Drosophila melanogaster: one gene and its partners. The protein of the gene in region 4 interacts with the protein of the main gene of each other region in a pairwise test. Each region holds a gene or a part of one and is shown on either strand. Other genes may lie near its edges.

What was found.
Region 1: the proteins of Hip1 (region 4) and Stacl interact in a two-hybrid assay, tested with the Drosophila melanogaster proteins (one large-scale study listed by BioGRID).
Region 2: the proteins of Hip1 (region 4) and CG12811 interact in a two-hybrid assay, tested with the Drosophila melanogaster proteins (one large-scale study listed by BioGRID).
Region 3: the proteins of Hip1 (region 4) and CG7849 interact in a two-hybrid assay, tested with the Drosophila melanogaster proteins (one large-scale study listed by BioGRID).

What each region holds. Positions count from the first base shown.
Region 1 is NT_033778.4:15,399,279-15,404,111, forward strand, and holds the start of Stacl (Stac-like), read left to right. Parts: upstream 1-1,817; 5' UTR 1,818-3,105; intron 3,106-4,833.
Region 2 is NT_033777.3:10,046,706-10,050,717, reverse strand, and holds CG12811 (uncharacterized protein), read left to right. Parts: upstream 1-1,920; 5' UTR 1,921-2,181; coding exon 2,182-2,301; intron 2,302-2,774; coding exon 2,775-2,877; intron 2,878-2,948; coding exon 2,949-3,337; 3' UTR 3,338-3,466; downstream 3,467-4,012. Other genes in the region: ohgt (ohgata), read right to left, coding at 1-278, 339-978, 1,044-1,328, 1,401-1,422; mtTFB2 (mitochondrial transcription factor B2), read right to left, coding at 3,516-3,942, 4,004-4,012.
Region 3 is NT_033778.4:6,075,124-6,078,639, forward strand, and holds CG7849 (uncharacterized protein), read left to right. Parts: upstream 1-1,786; 5' UTR 1,787-1,852; coding exon 1,853-1,982; intron 1,983-2,037; coding exon 2,038-2,250; intron 2,251-2,299; coding exon 2,300-2,910; 3' UTR 2,911-2,965; downstream 2,966-3,516. Other genes in the region: l(2)k09848 (lethal (2) k09848), read right to left, coding at 1-991, 1,048-1,135.
Region 4 is NT_037436.4:12,767,878-12,775,538, forward strand, and holds Hip1 (huntingtin interacting protein 1), read right to left. Parts: upstream 5,697-7,661; 5' UTR 5,434-5,696; coding exon 5,398-5,433; intron 5,343-5,397; exon of another isoform or gene 4,867-5,342; intron 4,707-4,866; coding exon 4,285-4,706; intron 4,226-4,284; coding exon 3,495-4,225; intron 3,439-3,494; coding exon 3,329-3,438; intron 3,265-3,328; coding exon 2,518-3,264; intron 2,462-2,517; coding exon 2,026-2,461; intron 1,960-2,025; coding exon 1,555-1,959; intron 1,498-1,554; coding exon 1,010-1,497; 3' UTR 685-1,009; coding exon of another isoform or gene 634-684; 3' UTR 555-633; downstream 1-554. Other genes in the region: Vps13D (vacuolar protein sorting 13D), read left to right, coding at 1-475, 634-684; CG32106 (uncharacterized protein), read right to left, coding at 6,120-7,518, 7,579-7,656.

The DNA of each region.
Region 1 (4,833 bases), on a different chromosome or scaffold from region 4:
AACTTACTAAATGAAGTATAAACAAATAAATAAAAATAGATTTTAAACTATGTTTTAGAATAATTTTTGATTAGATAATGTAAACATTTCCAGCTGATCAGCCATTTGTCTTGTCGACCTCTTGAAAAATTGAGAGTAGAGCAGGACCACAATTTACTGATGGAATTTTTACACAAGTTATTTATTTTGTTTCTATTGCTGGCCGCTTCATTCATGACGACTTCATTTACTTGACGAATGTGCCCGTGCAGGACGAAGGATCCACGCTGCTGGCTTTATTAATATTTATAAGTTGGACTCTCTAGCAGGAGCTTAGCCAAAGCCGCAATAATTCCCCCGACCACGCAATCAAAATCAACCCTCTTGGAAATTCCGATGGCTGGCTGGAGACAGCCACTTGGTTCGCTTAACATTTTCAATTTCAATCTAATCTAAATTACATGATATGCGCACAATTTGAACGCTAATGAGCAAGGAATTTGTGGTAAGATGGTGGCGGAGCAACGCTGCGTATGCGCAACATATTGCGTGTGAATTTTAATTAAAAACTTTTCTCACTTTCCAACCGAGATAATCTCTGTCCCACCGCCTTTTCCTCGAAATCTCCCACTGCGAATCGGATGTCCTTTCGTGTTGGCTGCTGTTGTTGCTGTTGCTTCGATTGCATCGATTTTCTGCTAACTTTGAACGGTATTTGAAAGGAGCTTAAGCTTGTTTCTTTTATTTGCGCTACCTTCGCGCGAAACCCGATTCCATGGGCAGCAAACAGGACCAGGTTGGCTAACAAATTCTTGGAGCTATTCAGCGGTTAGCGGTTGGGGTAAACAACTTCTATAATCACTGTAATGCGATCAAGCATAAAGATGGCTCTAGCTGACCGTTTATTTAGATGGGTAAACGGGTAATCCTATTTTTAGCCATGTTTATTAGACGAGAACAGCTTCTTTCACTAATGCGATTTAAAGAAAGCCTAATTTTTTAAAATAACTATACTTAATTAGTTGCAATCTCTTTCACATTTACATCACCCCTGCTAAGTAGAGGGTATGTGGTAGTCGAAGAACTCGTCTATAGCGCCCTCCCTGATTGTTGTAAAGTTGTAATAATAGTAATAAGTTAAAATATGTTGGTAGAGGATTTCAATGAGGTATTTTATTTCAATAAAATTCCGCTTAGAACATTCACCATTCGTTGCATTCCGTTCGCCCTCTAACCTGTTAACTTGGTTTTAATTTACACTTAATTACGTGCATTGCCGTGGCAAAAGTGCAACAGATTGCTTCGTGGATTGCTTCATTAATTGTCCTCTGTTGTGGCAACTACCATCCTGCCGCATCTCCCCTCTAATAACACATTACCAAGCTGCTGGTCCTGCTATTTAATGGCCTCACATGTGTCGGGAGATAGGGACAAAAATTAACCTTTGACCTGAATGTGTACGGTATCGCGTCACTTGGCTGTGCAAACAAATTGTTTCACGTCAAAAAGTTCCATTATTCGATTATGAGCCGGTCGAATAATACATTAGTAATGCAATTAATTAGTATATAAAGAATTCCGTATTCACACCGCCATCGGCACCAAATGATTAACTTCCATGGCAATTGTTTTGCTTAGGGCCCAACCACTTGCTTGATTCCCTTCCCATAACTGCTCTTTTCTGGCCAAGAGCACCTGCCCGCTCTTTGGAATTCCCAGTTGCTTTCTCTTCGTTTGCCCACGCAGCCGCATCAAGCTATTCCGAAAATAAAGCAGCCGACTTGTGGACGTTGCGTATACGCAGTGTTGTCGCCGCCGTTCGTTTGGAACCACTGTTCAGTCGCTAGCTGGACGTGATGTTGGCCGGAAGAGCAGCACGGCAAACAAATAAAGACTTAGCCAAAACAGCTGAACAATAGCTGAGCTGAACTGAACTCCAGGCCGTAACAAGTGTGGCAGTAGTTAGGTGTTCGTGCCGCTGAAACAACAAGTATCCAGCACAGTACTTTCTATTTCGGTTAGTCGGTCGGTCGGTTGGTCGTTTGGTCGGTTTGTCCGAGTGTGTGCGTGTTGGCCACCTAAGTCCTGGTGCGTGCGTGTGTGTGCGCGCTAACTGTGTTTTTGGATGCAAATCAAAGCGCAGCTCACCTGAAAAGTATGCTTTAAATTTTTACTATCGCCACTCCGCGTGTGTACTTGTAACTCTGAAAAGTTTCTGTTTCTGTGTTTATTTGACTACCGCGGCGCATTTACATAAGTAAACTTTGGCATGCGCGCGGCCTGCTGCCGCTGATGTAGATGTAACGACGTCGACGTTGGCACTGAATAATTAATGCAATCAAGCAATTTGAACCCGTTCCGCCGTGGAGTGTGCCTGGGCCAGTGCCACAACGGTTTCAACGTGACCATAATGAGAGCTCCCCAAGCTACAAGTCACTAAGTGTGCCCGAAAAGCCCAATAACACAAAGAGATAACCTGACCAAAATTCGCAACAAAAAAAAAAAAAAAATACAACACACAAGAAGCCTGAGGAACAAGGAGGGAATACACTATATTTTTCGACAGAACTATAGCTATACTATACCATATTAACAAGAGAGAGTCTACTATATATGTACTTACTTAGTGCTAACTGACCACGCATATTCCAATCATAAATTATCGTGATAAAAATTCTTAGGCGCTGAAAGCCAATTTCAATTTTCACCCAAAAACGATAGAAGAAGAAAAGCCCCTGAAAGAGAAGAGAGAGAGAGAGAGGGATATACGCTGTCTGCAGACCAACAAATTACTAATAATAATTTTTAGATTTAAACGACAACAAAAACGAGACTAACAAACATCTGCTGGCCACACAAGGAACGTATACAAATAAATGCGGGTATATAGCAAAATGTAGACAGCTTGGCAAATATATTTCGATTAAAATATATACCAAATTGAACTGGACAGAGCTTTGACACGAAAACCAAATCGTTTGCCAAGTGAATTTTATGAAATTCGCCTGATTATTGCGGCAACAATAGAGATAAGATTCGGAATCAGAGGAAAAGCGTTTAAGTGAATGGGAAAAAGCAGCCAACAGGTTGTCGACGACAGATAAGGCCAACATTTTCTCGAAATTGGTAAGTTGAAATCACAGCAGTGTAGAACGAATGAAAAATAATGAATGTGGCACTTCATTTCTACCACTTGGAAGGATAGTCTGATTTAGAAGTTTATTAAATGGTATGCTAAGTTTTGTCAATGATTTTATTTTGCTAAGAGCTTTGCCATCAACTAATAAAGGAGATTAAGCTTTGAAAACTTGATTGAAAATGAATTTGGGTTTCTGTGGAAGCTTAAGTTTTGCCAAAGTGAAAGAAACTACTGCAAGTTTTGAATAAACTAAATAATTTCTTTAGCAAAGTTAAAGTTTGACAAAAATCATTACAAACTAAAATGGTCATTTGGCTACTTTTAAAGCAATTTTCTTAATTGCATATATTTCGTGTTGGCAGAGTGCATTTAAAATTCTTTTTAAGTTTACTCACCTCACAATTCCCAAATCTGTATCCATTAATTAAGTGCAACTACTTACAGCTGAGAAATGTGATTAAAAGAATGCTATGCAGTTAAGAAATTAAAGTGTCATTGGTGACTTTCTTCACTCCTGCAAGTTCGTCGCTTTTTGCAAAGGTCCTGCGCACGGCTGCCCAATTCCTCCATCCATTATCCACGTAATCCCACTCGTCACGAGATTCCATCCGTCAAATCCCATTCCCGCCCAGCAGCAACATGTAAATGCTCCTGTAGTTCCGGAACATATGTGTACGAAATGAAAAGATCCCAAGGAGTAAACTGTAAACTGTAAAAATACTGACCATGTCGCAAAGTGCCATAAACAATTTTACAACATTTTTGCTGTCATAAGATTAAATGTGCATAAGCTGGAGGAGGGGCAAGGACAAGAAGAGCGCACTCCTCCGCAGGAGGATGAAAAAAAAAATGGAAAGTGCTAGGGAAAAAAAGGAGAAAGCTGTAGGAAAAGCTGGGCAATAGAGCACTGCGATGGGCGAAAGCGAAACAAAAGCAATAACTATAAAACAAACACGACAATTCGCTTCAACTTTGGGGCTACAAAAAATGGCTGAACACACACAGACAGAGGCAAACCGACTTTATGTGAAGAAAGAAAACAACGCTGAAGAACAACGGAGACTCACAGATACGAATACACTGGGTGAAAACTGAATGATTTAAATTACACAATAAAAGTATTGATTTAAGAGTGCTGGGCTCCGGTACACTGCAAGATAGGTTAGACAATGTAAACTTTAAAATATTTAAGATTTGGAAACTCCTTGGGGTTTAAAGGAATATTATATGGAGAGTATTTATGTTTTTCTCTGTAATATGTCTTGCATCGCTTTGGATTTTCTCACTTGAAGGACCCCACTTCGATTCCAGCACTTTTACTCGCGGTGTACACATACACAAGCCCATGTGCATTCATTCTGAGCTCCTTTTTTATGGCCGCTGGCGGTGGGTGTTCGTTGGTATGGTTTTGTTGAGGGTCGACTGGGCTATAAAGGTATGCAGCAGGCAGCAGACGACAGCATCCAATTACAAAGTGAATATTTCGAGACTTGTTGGTTTGACTCCCGCCTTTACGCTCGGGCAGCATATCTCGGTTTCCTTCCATGTTGACCTTAACATTTATTTCATCTGCTCTCTTCTCGGCTTTGTGTGGCAGCCTTAAAGTGACTTTCAAGTTTTTGGTACCGCCGTTACTGTCGCTGACCTGATTCTGATTTCTTCTTTAGTTGCACGAAAACGAGACCACCGAAAACACCGGGTCCATTCCCAAATGA
Region 2 (4,012 bases), on a different chromosome or scaffold from region 4:
GGCATTTTGGCATTGTGTCTATCTTTTGGGACTCCAGCCTCTGGCGTGCTCGCTCCACAATTGAAGAAAACGAATACTCTTGGCAGGCATCAGATGGCCAGGTGGTAGTGCTTAGCTGGAACCTGCGATACTTGTCGCGCATCGAGGGTATATCCCGAAATCTGGCCATCGAGCCCATGTCAACAGTTTGGAGCGGTTCGGGCAGGAAATACTCGGGCAATATTTTGACTTTGCTGAAGCATTTGCTAGTTGGATTGCGAGCAATGTACTGCGGTGACCTGAAAAGATATGGGATTAATCATGGAGAATTTAAGGTGATCCGTATAGTCAAGACTCACCCTTTTATATCATCGCAGTTGATGACAATGCGCTGCAGTGCTCGTGATTTGTAGAACACCAATCCTCGGCCGCTTTCGCCCCTTTCGTAGATCTGACACGTGACCCCATACAACTTGTGTGGGTTGTCCTCCGGCGGCTGCAAACGCGGGAAGCTTACACCGAAGATCAGACCGTCCAGACCGGGCATATCCTCGTCAAACATTCGGCCGTCGATCATGAAGGGAAGCACCTCGCCGGGAAAGAGGATGTGCTGGTGCAAGAAGATGAGCATGTGATGGACGCTGCCCACCTCCAAGTAGTCCACTCCGGGCACGCGACTCAAATGATTACCGAAGTATGAATGCTCCGCTGGCAGATTGGTGTCAAAGCCAATGTCGATTGGTGGTCGAGGTGGCTGCTGTGGCGGTGGATCAACGGGCTGCTCGGCAGCCTCCTGGCTCGTTTCCTCGCTTGTGCGACTGCGCCGTCGCTCCTGGCTAAAGACCATGCTACGCACTCGCTGTAGGAAGTTGTCCCCACTGAGCAGTGCAGCGATTCCACCATCCCGATTGCGGGCTTGCGAGACCATCATGTCTACGGCGGAGCGCAGTCGGTTCTGCGGAATCATCCAATGGGGCAGGCTCTCCAGATCGGAATCATCTGGAAAGGATGGAAAACGCGGGTTAAGTAGGAATGTGCAGCACAACGATTGTAAGCCAACTAACCTTCACTTCCTGGACTTTCCAGAGACATGTCACTGCTGGGATGACTGCCCTCGCTTGCTGTGTCGTCCTGCAAAACGTTCTCTACCATGGCCTCAAGTGCATCCCCTCCCTCACCATCGGTGGCCAGTGGATCTTGGAAGGCATCTTCTGCCGGCGGTGACGGCTCGTCTGGCATTGCATTGTTCCAAGCCTGTTCTATCACGTCTACCTGCCGATCCTGGAGCCCCTGTGACTGTTGGTCCTCCAATTGCACATCTTCATCCCGTGCTTGCACAGAATTGATTTCTGCGCAGTTTCATATGATGAACATATGTTATTGGGAACATTTGGCGAGTGCTATGATGCTGCCACACCCACCTGAGTTCTCCTCTTCGTCCATTTGAGCCGTACAGTGTCTTTTGTTGCTTCGTTTTGCAGGTGAATTTTATATATATTTATTTGGTTTTTATTTTGACAAAGGAAAATAAGAGATGGGAGCTTTTCGATAGTTAGCGATTGGCTAACCAGTGCTAACCAATAATGGCAACATTTTGAAAATGTTCGGTAGTTGGGCGCCAAAATAGACTCGTAATGCTTATCGTTCTATATAACAAATTATTCGATTTTCAATTTTAATTTCTGATACACTTAGTAATTTGGTAGTCCACAACTCATAGGAAGACAATATAACTAAGCATTACTTAACAAGGAGTTCTTAATCCAATATTTCAAAAGCAAACGTAAGTGTGCAGATATTTTTTTTAAGTTTTTCCCTTTTCTCTTGGCTTAAATTTATATGATCAGAAAGTTATTTTTTTCAACTCATCGATAGAAACAGCTGAGCATTGATTGAGTATTGAGCATCACTAGCAAGAGCGGATGTAATCGGGAGAGCAATATCAATTGGAACTGGCCCTTATTGGACTATGTTTTAATTTCACTTTGTTCTGCTTTTCTGGTTATTCGCACTAAACTTCCAATTGGAATATTGGAATATTTCCGAGAAAACGTAAAACAATAACATAACTGGACCCAACTAAGATCGTTATCGTTATCGAAGATCTTCGTTTCCCATTGATTAAGATTAAGTCAAGATTGGCCAGCCTCATACTTGTTTGAATTGCCGTGAGTATCACATGAACAAGTGATTATACGGACAATGATCAATCCCCAACTTTTGCTGATCGCCGCGCTTATTGCGTTTATTGGGAAAGTGGCACACGCTCAAATCGCCTTTGTTGAGGATCAAGACATTGATAAGAAGAAGGCCAACCTTGCGGTAAGCTGCAGCCAGACACAATCCACATTTGTGATAAGAAACGCCAAAATGGAAGAGAAAACCCAGCCGGAACTGGGCAACATCTTTCGCCGAATACCCTTCCCAATCAGAAGTGAAAGTCGTTGGAGTCCAATTAGGAATTTTGTGTAGTGACCAATGTTCAAAAACATTTCATGATTGCTTTGATTTTAAAACTAGCTTAAGGTTCTAGTTAAATAATTATAATAACAGACTTTTAATTGTATGGATACTGTTGAACGTGATTGAAAAATTTTTTTTTTTGTTAAAAATAAGAAATACATTTATTTTATCACTGTGGTGACTTTGAGAGTTTCAAACCTTTAAACTTCTAAAGTGTGTGTTTGAAGTGAATTTCAAAATACGGGGACTGTTTTGGTAGTGTATGCAAGCCCCATTGGCAATAATCAATCGAATTCCTGCCTCACACCCCTCCGCTTTCTCCTCATCAACAGGGTCGCAAGCCACTGTATTCGCCAGCCCGATGCCCCAAGCACCAGCTTCTTTATCCGGGGGACCAGCAGAAGCAGAACGACTGGGTTTGCGACTGCGCGCCAGGTGAGCGGTCATAATGGAGCTACCATGGCGATGACATAATAATCTCCGTATGGGTACTTCCCCTTCGATAGCCACACTGTATTACCCGGAGACCGATGGCTGCTATCCGGCCTACCGACAGGGACCCTGTGAGGCTGGACAGATTCTGGTGCTCTACAAGGAGGAGATCATCCCGAAGTGCGTACGAAATCCATGTAACAGGGACGGACACTTTATGATTCGCGACACATGCTATGAGTTCGGAAACACCAAGAAGGAAGAAAACCCGTGTCCTTACCAGGAGGCTTCCTTTGTACTTGGCGTGAATCCCACCAACTTGATGGTGGACTGTGTGAAGCTGTCCGTTCAACTGGAGACGCGTATTTCGGACACGGAGCAGGCTCCGCCGGAATACTACGTTGATTTGGCCGAGAAATGCGCACGCGGCAGTCGCCTAATGGCTCAGGGAAAGTGTCCTTAAAGGATTTTAACATTATGTGCTTAAATGTATTGTGTTCTGTTTGGTAATGTGTGGAGGCCAGTGAAGAATAGCGAATTTGTTCCATGTTTAAGACAGATATAATATGATTACATACCATTTCTCAAAATGAAGGCAATTCTTTATTTTTCTTGCACAAGCAAAACGCTATTATGTACAACTAAGAACTGGCTTTCCTGCGCCTCTTGACGGGAGTGGTGGCGGGTACAGGGCTTTCTTCTTCGATAATTTCATCTGCTTCGGCATCATCCTCTTCTGGCAACGTGACGCCATCCTCTAGGTTTGGTTCGTCATTGGCAGTCTCCAGCTTGAGCAGCGCATTTTCCAGCGAGGCGAGGAAAGAGCTCTCGCCGTACTCCGGCCACTGACGAAACTGACTAAATAGCGTCAGAATCTGACTGGGCAGGAGATCTCCGAACTGTGTGTAGATGTTGATGCCGGGATAGTAGTTTCTGGTGCTCATTGTAGTACTCTGGCACGAGTACTGTGGTAGTTTCTTGGGCAATTCATCTGGATAGATGGGTGTTACGGACTCGGAGGACTTCGGATTAATGATAAGCCGAGGTCCACAGCCGGGAACCCACTTTCTACACAAATAATAATTGAATTTATAAAAATAACCCCAGATGATTTGATTGTGTTACCTACTCTAAATTG
Region 3 (3,516 bases), on a different chromosome or scaffold from region 4:
ACGCTCTTATTTTCACTCACGTTTCTATCCATTTGAAGGTCAGCGACCTCCTCAGGTTCTTCTGTTACTCGTGCCTCGTTTTCAAACGGTCGGATAAGAATCTTAGTGGCCTTTGATTTCACGTAGCATTGGTAGAGCAGCACTGTGGTTTCGGAATCATGGATACGAACGTATCGGTCTAGGCTTGCAGAGCTCAGAAAGCGACCGGTGGCATCTAAATGAAGGTCACTTATCCCGCCTGTGAATCCCTTGTACGTATGCACATGAGTTTTCATGCGTCGAGTGTCAAAGGCTTTTAGAGCACCCATTGTGGTACCCGTGTAAATAAAGTTTCCCTTTGCCACTAAAGTCGTAAAACTCATCCCGTGCTCCTCGCTGGCAAAACATGCAACAGGTCGACGCTGCTTACGCGTGTCATAGATGCGAACATAGCCGGTTCGCGAGCAAGTGGCCAGTACACTAGGCCCATCCACAAAGCCGATATCGCTGTCCCAAACCGGAACCTCTAGCTGCAGATAGTCGTTGGGCAAATTCTTCGAGGTGAAAATCTGCTTACCGTCGGCATTTAAATCGTAGACCTTTAGATTGTTTTGACGCTCTTTGCCGCCAGTTGCTACAATGCTTTTGACTTGGGCGCACTGGCGCAGGTGGTCCATTTGGTCACCCGTGGCGATAACCACGGGCTCGGACTCGTCGTTCGCCTCTAGCTCCAGGCTCTGTATCTCTCCGTTGCCAATGCCGGCAATAAGCTTGTCATTGTATCGGGCCAGACCAACAATTGGCGCAGCATTGAAGGATACTGTGTTCCTAGAATGTCCCTTTTCTGTGAAGGAGTGAATCTCCACGGCGTCCTTGGCCCGGCCTAGAAGGATCTCCGTCTGATCGTCGTTGCCAAAGGCCAGAGATGTGACGCGGGAATCCTTATCCAGGGCGCACAGATCACTCAGGTTGCTTTGTCCATAAGGGGTCTTCTCGGATGCAGGCACCAGGTCTAAAAAGTTGAAGTCATTATTATTATGCTGTTCGATAAAGAACAAGCGGACGTACGTTTAAAGGAGCCCGTGTGTGTTCCCACATACAGTTCGTGCTTCGCCGTGTAGTTTACATGTTTGGTATTTGCAGTAGTCCACTTCATCTCAAGACGCGGTTTCTCTCAATACTTGCGATTAAAACGTGAATTAATGGTATGCGGCTATACAAATTCGTGCGGTCAAAACAAATCCTACACGTGCAATAGAGATGTAAAAGACATATGCTTAATAATCGATGTTATCGTTTATATCGATATCTAACGGCCACCGATATTTTAATAACATTTAGGGTAGTCACTAGGCTTCAGTTTGCTGTTTACCAGTTTAAAACATTTTTTTCGTTGAAAACCACTTCTCTTGTGAGAATATAGTGATACGCATAAGACTTTATTTGATTATAACTTCTTTAAGTGCAGTTTTGTTGTCATTTTAAATGCAAGCAAATAGTATGCAAGCCACAGTGAGAATATTCCCGTGAAATTTGTAAAATTTATAGAAAATTTTAGCCCAATCGGATTTGTTTCTTGTTTTTTCGTGCGGTGGACTTAATTCTTGTTTTGCAGTGATACAAGCATGTTTTTTTGCGGGTATAAAGACCACAACGTTTTGAGAATTATTTCCAACTAAACTTTTTTTTAGAAAATTAAAGAGATATTTGAAAACAACATTTTATATGTAAATTTTATAAATTAAGTTTCAAGTGCATGTCTATACCCTATTCAGTACTGGGCAGCACATGTGCTCAGCTGTTCGTGTGTGTTCACCAACACTGTCATGTGAATTTAAAAACAAATAGCGCACATACGTAACTTAAAGCAGAAATGGCTCTCACCAAAGTTTATGATGCCGCCACAGTGTTTAAGCACATGAATGGCATTCTAAATGTGTACAAGCCATCCGGTATGAAGGTGAAACACGTGCGCAATGCTATTCTGAGCAACATTTGCAAGGGTAAGCCTAGCGCCATTTAAAGAACAAATTGAAATTAAAAACAGATCTGCAAAAGGACTCAACGAAATGGAGCAGAGGAAACCACGCAAGTTGCAAGAGAACATTAGCCTCCTGGGCACAGGCACTGCAGCAGATCACGTACTACATAACATAGGAGAGCAGACGGATCTATCCGACCACCTTCTGTCCACCGGACCGCGGTACCTTCCGCGAGACTTGATCTGCACCACAGTGTCCAGCCTGGGCGATCACACCAGCGGAGTCCTGCGTAAGTCATGTAAAACATTTTAAATCCAGATCTAACCATACTTTTGTAGTCTTTGGGATCAACAGGGGAGCAGGCCAGTCTAGTTCTATTCGGAAAAATCGACCAGTGCGGGTCTACCATCTAATCGGGCACCTAGGCATCGCAACCGAAAATAACCTACCAGACTCACGGGTCATAATGCGCTCCAATCACCGACACGTGTCCGCAGACAGGATCAGCAGTCTAGCCGCCTCCATGCAGGCATCCCATCAGCGTAAGATGTTTGAGCTCTGCGGTGTCGATTTGCAGACCCAGGAGGCCTATGAACTGGCCTGTAGGGGTCTCCTACGCCCAGCGGACGACAGTCAGCCCGTCGTCTACGGCATTAAGCTGATTCACTTCGATCGACCGCACTTCACCCTGGAACTGCACGCCATCAACGAGACGCAGGAGTACTTAGCTACGCTAGTGCACGATATGGCTTTGGACCTCCGAACCGTGGCGCACTGCTCCCAACTACGCTGCGTGCGGCATGCCCATTTTGATGTGACAGATAGTCTGCTCAGACACGCCTGGCACTTGCCAGGAATTATCAAGAACCTCCGTCAACAACGTGACATCCTGAGGGCGCATCCACAGCTTCTGCGACAACAGCGAGTGGAACTGCGAGCTACAGATTAATTTAGGAATTCATTGTAATTGAATATAGTCAAATAAATATAGGCAGATAAACTATAAAGCAGTCAATCAGGTCAATAATTCTGGTAATAATTTTTGATAAGAATATGCAGAATATCTGCTTATTTAAGTCAGCATAGTTTATTGACGGTTACAGTTCAAAATAGGTCATTTATAAAAAAAAAACGTAAGACTCTAGTTTAGTAAAAGTAAGATGTTTAAAACGTGATCTTATTAGAAGCGGTAGCCAAAAACCATACATTTCACAAATTTTTTTTGAATTAATTCTAAAAACAAGGGAGATTGCTATAGTTGATAACCTCGACCCATCGAAGGGTCAGTTGTTCCAAATTATGTAAACTAATTTCTTCGGTGCTCAATATCATTAAGAAGTGATTTTTTTCAGGAAATGTGTCATATACCAAACCTTGTGAATTTCAATGGTCACGCAGTTGGTAATTTAAAGAGAAATAGGTAAAATTTGAAAATAAGCTATATAATTATAGCTCTACAAAGACATTTAGGTTCAGTAGGAAATAGATATTTATAGCTGTTTTCCCGGTTATCTAGCGGATTTTTCCAAAGAATCAAAAATAGCGCACATGTTTT
Region 4 (7,661 bases):
TGCCAGTGCCGTTCGTGAAACAAGCCGAGATAGTCACAGAAACGCTCCGGAAAGGAAAAGGCTACCCAGATGTGTGACTGGTGCTCCTGGTGGTCTTTTGCCATTGTATTCCAATCGCCAAAGCAAGGGGCAGCAATATCTGTACCTAATCAATCAAAAGAACTTTTCGGAGAAGATAATTTCATATGAACCCAATCTATGGAGCGACAAGGAGGCTAGATTGCGCTTGCTGGTTTCTACAGAATACGTACGAATCTTTTCACTAAGCGACGCCAATCCAACCATTATGTTTGAATGTCATGTTAGTGAGATTCTTTCGTGCCATCCAGTGGTAACGAATGCCGGCACAACGCCAACCACGAGCAGCAGGGCGTCGGCCAGTCACTACATCGAGATATCAACCAATCTTCCAAAGATTACCAGGCCCAGGATACGGTGTCGTTCCGAGGAATGTGCTGAGGCAGCATCAAGATGCGTAAGTAGAAATCATCTTAGCAGAAATTAGTAGAAATTATCTTTCAATAATAAACTATTATTGTTGAAGCGCAGACTTTGTTTATCATATAATTTATTTACTTTTACAAATTTTGAAATGATTATCACATATATTCCATACTTGTCTTTTTCTTTTAGATAAACTACGCTAAAAGTGTCTTTGATGAACGTGAACATGCCGTTTTATAAAATGCAATAGGTCGGTTCGTGATAATAAACAAAAACCTTTTGACAACAAATGTTACATTTTATTTTCTTTGGCAATAAGTGCTATTTTAATTTCAAGTAGTAAGTAAAATAAACATTTAAGAAATAATGAACCCACATACTATGGTGTGATATAAATCAAGGATCAAAAAGCGATCGACACGGAATACTATAAACAGATATTACGGATTCATTGTAGGATAAAATGACCGCAGTGTAAATATTGTGTAGATATATTATTTGTCATGACGGGCATTAATACAAAAAAGAATGTTTGTAAAGTTAGTAACATTAATAAATATGGTATTTAATAATCGGCATTCTTGTAATGCTCCTTACGAAACGATGAGAGTTTTAGTCGTTGCATTTGGAGAGCTTGTTCGATTTCGAGTACTTTAACATGAATTTCCATTTCCATCGTTTTAATCTGTGATGGCGTTAGCTTAGAAAGTTCTATTTCACTCTGCTGCTCCAGCTGGGAGTTGCAATCCTTCACGGTGGCGACCAGAGTTCCTGTTGCCTGCGTTACGCTTCGCGAGGCTTTTGTGAGGTCGGTTAGCTTTTGACTATTACGTTCAGCCTTGACTTTGCTCGCAATAACCATTTGGGTCGTGCAGGCAGCAATTTCTTGGGCAGCCACAATGAGTTCAAAGTTCTTGCCAGATTCACTTTCAATAGCCTTGTTTGCAGCTTCCACCAGATAGTTGGCTGCCTTCGCCACACTTTTCGAGGCGGATATCAAACCATCTGACCACTGACTGTTCCGCCTATAAAACTCATTAGCACTCGCATTTCCTGAAAGAGTAATTACTTGTCAGTAACTTCATTGAATTAAAAAATATTGTTAGCTACCTTTTTGGGAAGCCACGATTTCGTGTTGCAGGAGACGAGATTTTTGGATTAGAGCTTTGACACATTCCATCAAGGTGGTACACGCATCCACTATTTTTCCGTTTACCTCTAAATTGGTTTGGTTGTCCTTCTCTCGAGCCTTTGCCAGTAGATCTGTAATTTTGGAGGCTGCATCATCAATCGCAGCGTCCATCTCGCGAAGCTCGATTTCGAGCAGCTTATCTAAATCAATCTTCTGTTCAAATGATGCCTTTATTTTCTCAATCAGCTTTTCAATATCTCTCAGCTTTGTTTGTATATCAGTGATTGTTTTCTGTCTCTCGGGTTCTTTTGTTTCATTATTTAATAAGTATTGGAACAATTGACAGATATCGGTACATAACAAATTTGTTTTTGAGAAAATTTCTGCAAAATAAGTAATACAAAGTTAGTTTGCTGTAGGTGGTTATGTTTTTAGTGTTATCAACTTACCCTGACCTGTCTCAATTGCAGTTGTTGTTTTGTAGATAACATCACATTGATCGTATAGTTTTATAAATACATAACCCAGATACATAACATTTTGCAGTCCTTCGGTTGAAGCAACATAGTTTATAGCCGATGCGTTATTGAACTTATTTAAAATGGTCTCCATTTCGCGTATTATGTTTGGCACCGCATCCAAAGGCTGTTGTTCCGATCCGCTCAACTTCGAATTGCATATTTCCTTTACAGTCTTGATCACCAATTTTCTGAGTTCACTCAAATCGGTACTACAGATTTGGTACGAACTTGTCACGGCATCAATTTGCTGTGTTGCTTGGGTTAGTTTTACCTCAGTAAGCGAGAGTTTGCTTTGCAAATCCTCGTTACGCTGACCCGCTGAAGCATTTTCCTGCCTCAATTGATTCACAATTTCCTGGGTTTGCTGAAGAAAGAAAAGCAGTTTCTATAATTTTCTTGATTTAAATTGGTTTCATTTACCTGTAATGCACTCTCATTTTGCTCCAAGTTGTTTAAAGTTAGCTGCAATTGAGCATTTTGTGCTTCGCTGTTGTTTTTATGCTCTATACCTAACTGCTCTATTTTAGTTAATAGCACTGATTTTTCCGCTTCAAATGCCTTTAAATTGTTTTGAATTTCCAATGCCTTTAAGCTGATTTGGCTTTCTGCGCTGGACAGCTGAAGCTTAACTTCATTGAACTCTTTATCCTTTTGTTCCAAGTTATCCATTATTTCTTGCAATTGAGCGTTTTGAGCTTCACTATGGCTTTTACTTTCAACACTCTGTTGTTCAATCTGAGTTAAGAGCAATGCCTTTTCCGCTTCAAAAGCTTTTAGCATTTTCTCGATATCCTCGGTCTTTGCATTTATTTGGCTTTCGGCGTTCGACAGTTTTTCCAGGGTGTCATTGAGGTTTCCATTAAGCTCTTCGACTTTGAGGCAATTTAGCCTCAGGTTTTCGGAAGTGGAAATAATATCGAGTTCCTGAATTTCCTTTTGTTTAACCACATCATCGAATTTCTCCTTCATCTCGTTTTTGACTGCTTCAAGATGTGCTATTTTCTCCTTGTGCTCTTCGATTTGCTTTTGCAGAATCAAGTTTGTTTTCTCTTTTTCCTCTACGTTTACTTTAATTTTGGAAATTTCATTGGTAAGCTCCTTAGTTTCCAACAATAGTTGTGAGTTTACTTGTTTCTCTTTATTTAAGGACTTGTTGCAATCACTTTGCTGATATAAAAGTATATGAATGAATATTAGTATAGGAAATAGAAAATATTGTGTTTCTGCATACCTCTCTCAGCAGCTGAATGTGCTCATCTCGAATCTTTGTGTATAGAGTTTTAAGTTTATTAAACTTTTCCGACGACAACTTGTGCTTTTCTTCTTCCTCCATAGCTTTTTCTGAAATACAAGGTATTTTTATATGACTTCATTATGTTTAATAAGCATTTAATTACGTAAAAGAATTGGGTTCTGATTCAGTTGCATCTCAAGATCGTCATTTTGCATCCGAAAGGTGGCACACATTTCTCTCGCCAAGACCAGATCATTTGACAGCACAGTATTGTTCTGTTGCAACTCCTGAACGTCGTGTCTGTAGCTTTGCTGCAGTGCGTCGAAATTTTTTTGCATTGCGTCCAATTTGAATGACAGCTCCTCAATGCTAGCCTCTTTCTCGCTGATTATACCCTCCAACATGCTAAGCTGCTGCTGGGCTTGACTGAAGGCTTCCAGCTCGTGATTGTTGGTATCCACAAGGTCTTCAACAACCGGATCGGGCTCCTGGGGAACGTGAACCACTGGCGGTACATAACTGGTGAAATCGTTTTGGGACTTGAAGTTAGGACTTGAGTCCGGCAATTCCGGGATTGTTATTAGGTCCTTGAAATACTGAAGCGGTCGCACGTTGTTGTAAAAACTCTTCAACTTTAAAAACAGACCGTGAAAGCGATCTCTGTGTCCGGAAACAACGTCGTATGGTACACCATCGTGTAGTTTAAACATTAACCGAACGCTTAAATCGTACAACGCATTGGAATCCTGGATAAGGCAAACTATTGGCGCTAATCTACATTGTCCCTGCGGTGTCATCGACGACATTCTGTACTTTTCCATAGATGAAAATATCGTCAATTGCAGCGCAATTATATCCTCCAAGTAGTCGAAAATTTCCACGCACAGTTGAAAACTGGAATCAATGGTTCTGTCTCAGTAGTTTGAAAGTAATATATATCTATTTTTACTTACCAATAATTTAAATCCCTATCCACAGCAATGAAGAGTTCCGTGAACGAAATGTTCAGGGTGCCGGGAAACATTCGATTTTTGTCGTGGAAGTTTAATTTTGTGGCCAAGAGCTTACTATACGCCTGTATGCAGCATCCAATATCGTCCTGCAGCAGGCCCCACATTTTTCCCACCTCCAGTATCATCTTCTTGTGGCTCTGCGAGTGGCGGATGGCACTTTCATGACCCTCTCGCAGGACCTTGTGCAGCAGATGCGAAAACTTCCAGGCAGTAAATCTACTCTGCATCAAAGGCTGCCGGGAGATGATCATCCAGAATGTTTTGGCCTCTTTGGCCTTGTGTATCATAATAATAATGGAGCGGGCATGTTTGGTTTTGAGTGGCGCTTCCAGGCCATTTAAAGCTTTGGACACGCTGACGTTCTGAAATGAAATGTAAATATTATAGTTTAAATGGCTTTTTATTGTTGTACACTTTCGAAGAAGTGACTGACTCAGCTTATAAGATATGGACGGATTTTGGCGGACGATATCTATAGTTTTATACTTTTTAGTGGAATTCGATCTAAAGGGGGTGACTCACTGATCGACTATTTAGTTTGGAAGTGCAAACATTTCGATGCTTTTAAAAATAAGATTCCAAACACCTACACCATGTGTTTGATATGAATTTATGATAACAGAAGGTAATCTAAATACTGGATTTCACTTCTTATCGTGCCGAATTTGGGTTGATAATCAAAAAATTTGAAAGGCCTTTGTGTGCACATTGAACAATTGATCAAAGTGGATGTAGTCCGCATAGCATTCATTGCAGTTTCTAATTTTCTGGGTCATCCGAAGCGGAGAAACTTGGGATTAGCATGTAGTGTAGTCTCTGTGGTGTTGCAAGTCGTGTGAAAAGCTGATGATATTTCGAGCTGTTCCATATAATCTGGTTCAAGGCTGACTTCTTAAGTGAAATGTTTATGCATATTTGAGCGGCGCGCCTGTAGTTGTGTGCATAAACATTTAGGTATTTACACTATGCACATGATATGACAACATCCGTGTGCCTATAATCTGCTGTGGGTATTCTTGGCGGTTTTCTTGGCTTTCCTTTGGGCTTACGTACCAGGTGGTAGAACTCCTTTTCGGCGTGAGTTGCCATTGTTTACTGACAATTCTTGGCGTACTTGCTGAACAAATTCGAATCATTCGCAGCGCGATATATGTGCATTAGAGCAAAGACAGCAAAGACATTGGAAACGGGAGTTATCTTATCTTATCAACAATGTTGGCCATTGTTTTCGTATTGGTCGCGTTCGTATTCATTCGGATTCCGATCGTGTGCGTGTATGAAACAATGAGTGTAAGAGTAAATTAGTCATATAAACAAATGTTGTTTTCCTTTATCGATAAAAGTTAATAGAGCTGGGCGGTGTTCCGATATGCGGGCTTTACCCTATCGATTCGTTTCGATAGTCATCAACTTCTTGCATCACCATTTTGAGCGCGAAAAAAAATGTTTTGCAAATTTTTATTTTTTTCCATTAAATCGAAGGATATTTGAATTGAAATACACTTAAATGAACCAATATTTAAATTATAACATCGAACGCTTTCAATAAAACTTCAGTTAAGTTAAAAATTTAATTTAATTTGATTTTATACGATGGTTTAAAAAAAAGCTTTAGAATGTGTTTTTGAAATTTTTGTGTACTGATTTTCTAAAAAGATAGATTTTGTTCGATATTTATAGATCTGCTACCATATTTTTACTTTAAATAAAAGAACGACAATTTTAATTTGTTTTTAAAGTAATTTTAATTTAATGTATTCTTCCAACTGTTTGGATTAAATTTGGTATTCCGATTGATCATAGTAATCCAAATGTACATTTTGCTGTGGCCAAAACATCTCGGCTGGGTATTGGTTTTGTGGTGGAATGTAACGTCGATTGGGATCTGGAACGGATGTCATCATCAGTTGCGGATGATGATATTGATTGCTATAAGGACAAGCGTGGTGTCTGAAAGTAGGATGCTGTTCTCCGTGAACAAAATTTGGCTGCAGTGAAAATTCCGGTGGCTGGAAGTTGGAATCCATGCGTGTTATATTATACTTATTCACGGTGCGTTCATAGAATCCATCTGGAAGCATTCGAATGTTCTCTTTTAGTTGAGGATTGTAGTCAGGGTTTCTGGCCTGAGAGGAACTTGGGTCTGAAGTATGTACAGATTCCTGAAAATGATGATAGGATCCATGATCCGGCTGACATTGTTCCTTCATTTGAAATTGATGCTGCACGGCTGGTGCTGAAGCTGGTGACTTAGTGGGCATCCACTGATCCCGCGGATCTATAAGGTACCCTTCATCGAAAGGAGTGACATTTTGTGGAGCACTCACAGAGATCTGCGGTTGTAGCATATGATCCGGTGGCTTCGTAAATCCTTGATGGAGACTCGGAGGAAGACCCGTGTATTGATAAGGACACGAGTTACAGGGCGGTCGTCCACAGGTCTGGAGTAGAATTTCCCTGTTACAGGGAGTTCTTGTCTCTATAAGAACGGTGTTCCCATTGATATTTGCCTGGTTTCTGATCCCAGCACTTTCACAACTACGAAGTTTTCGAGGTTGCATTAGGGTTACCGTTTCCAGTGTTTCCACGTCAGTCGATGTATTGGGAGCTAGTAATTGGGAGTTCGGAGGTGGATCTGTCCAAGTTAAGTCAGTAGAATACCCAGAAGCTCCAACCATAGCTGAATTATGCGACCCGTCCTCGTTTTGATGACTATCGCGATGGCTTTGGTCACTATTATTTCTATCACAAGCTAGGTATTCATCTTGTCTGTGCTGGTCAGGATATTGGCTGCTGGCCGAAATGAATCTTCCGCCTTGCGAATTGTTTGAATCATTTCTTTGAATACGTCTAAGTACTGGGTAAGATGTTTGGGATGGGGCTTTTCGTCTATTTTCTGAGGATGGTGGATTGTTACTCAAAGAATCAGAAACGCCTGGATGATTCTGCAGATTCCTATTTCTCCTTTCAATAGATTGCTCTGCTGTATTCGTTCTAGTAGATGGCGAAGAAGCTAGAACAAATACACCGTTCATTTGGCCAACAGAAGAATTGCAGTTTCGATTCTTCGTCCTTTTTGTTTTCTGGGTTTGTAGTCGAACGTGTCTTGTAGTCGCTGGTGCCATTTGAAATTGATTGGTATTGAGTCTGGTGAAGTTTAGACCAAATTTCCTCCTGAAATATGTTTGGATTAAAAGTAAGAGATCATAATTGTCGGAAAAGAAGAACACTCACAATTGTTTTGGCTGGGAAATGCCCAATTCTTCAGTGCTGCTCATACGAAATGGTACTTGCACCATTGGTGGCTTTTCTCTGGA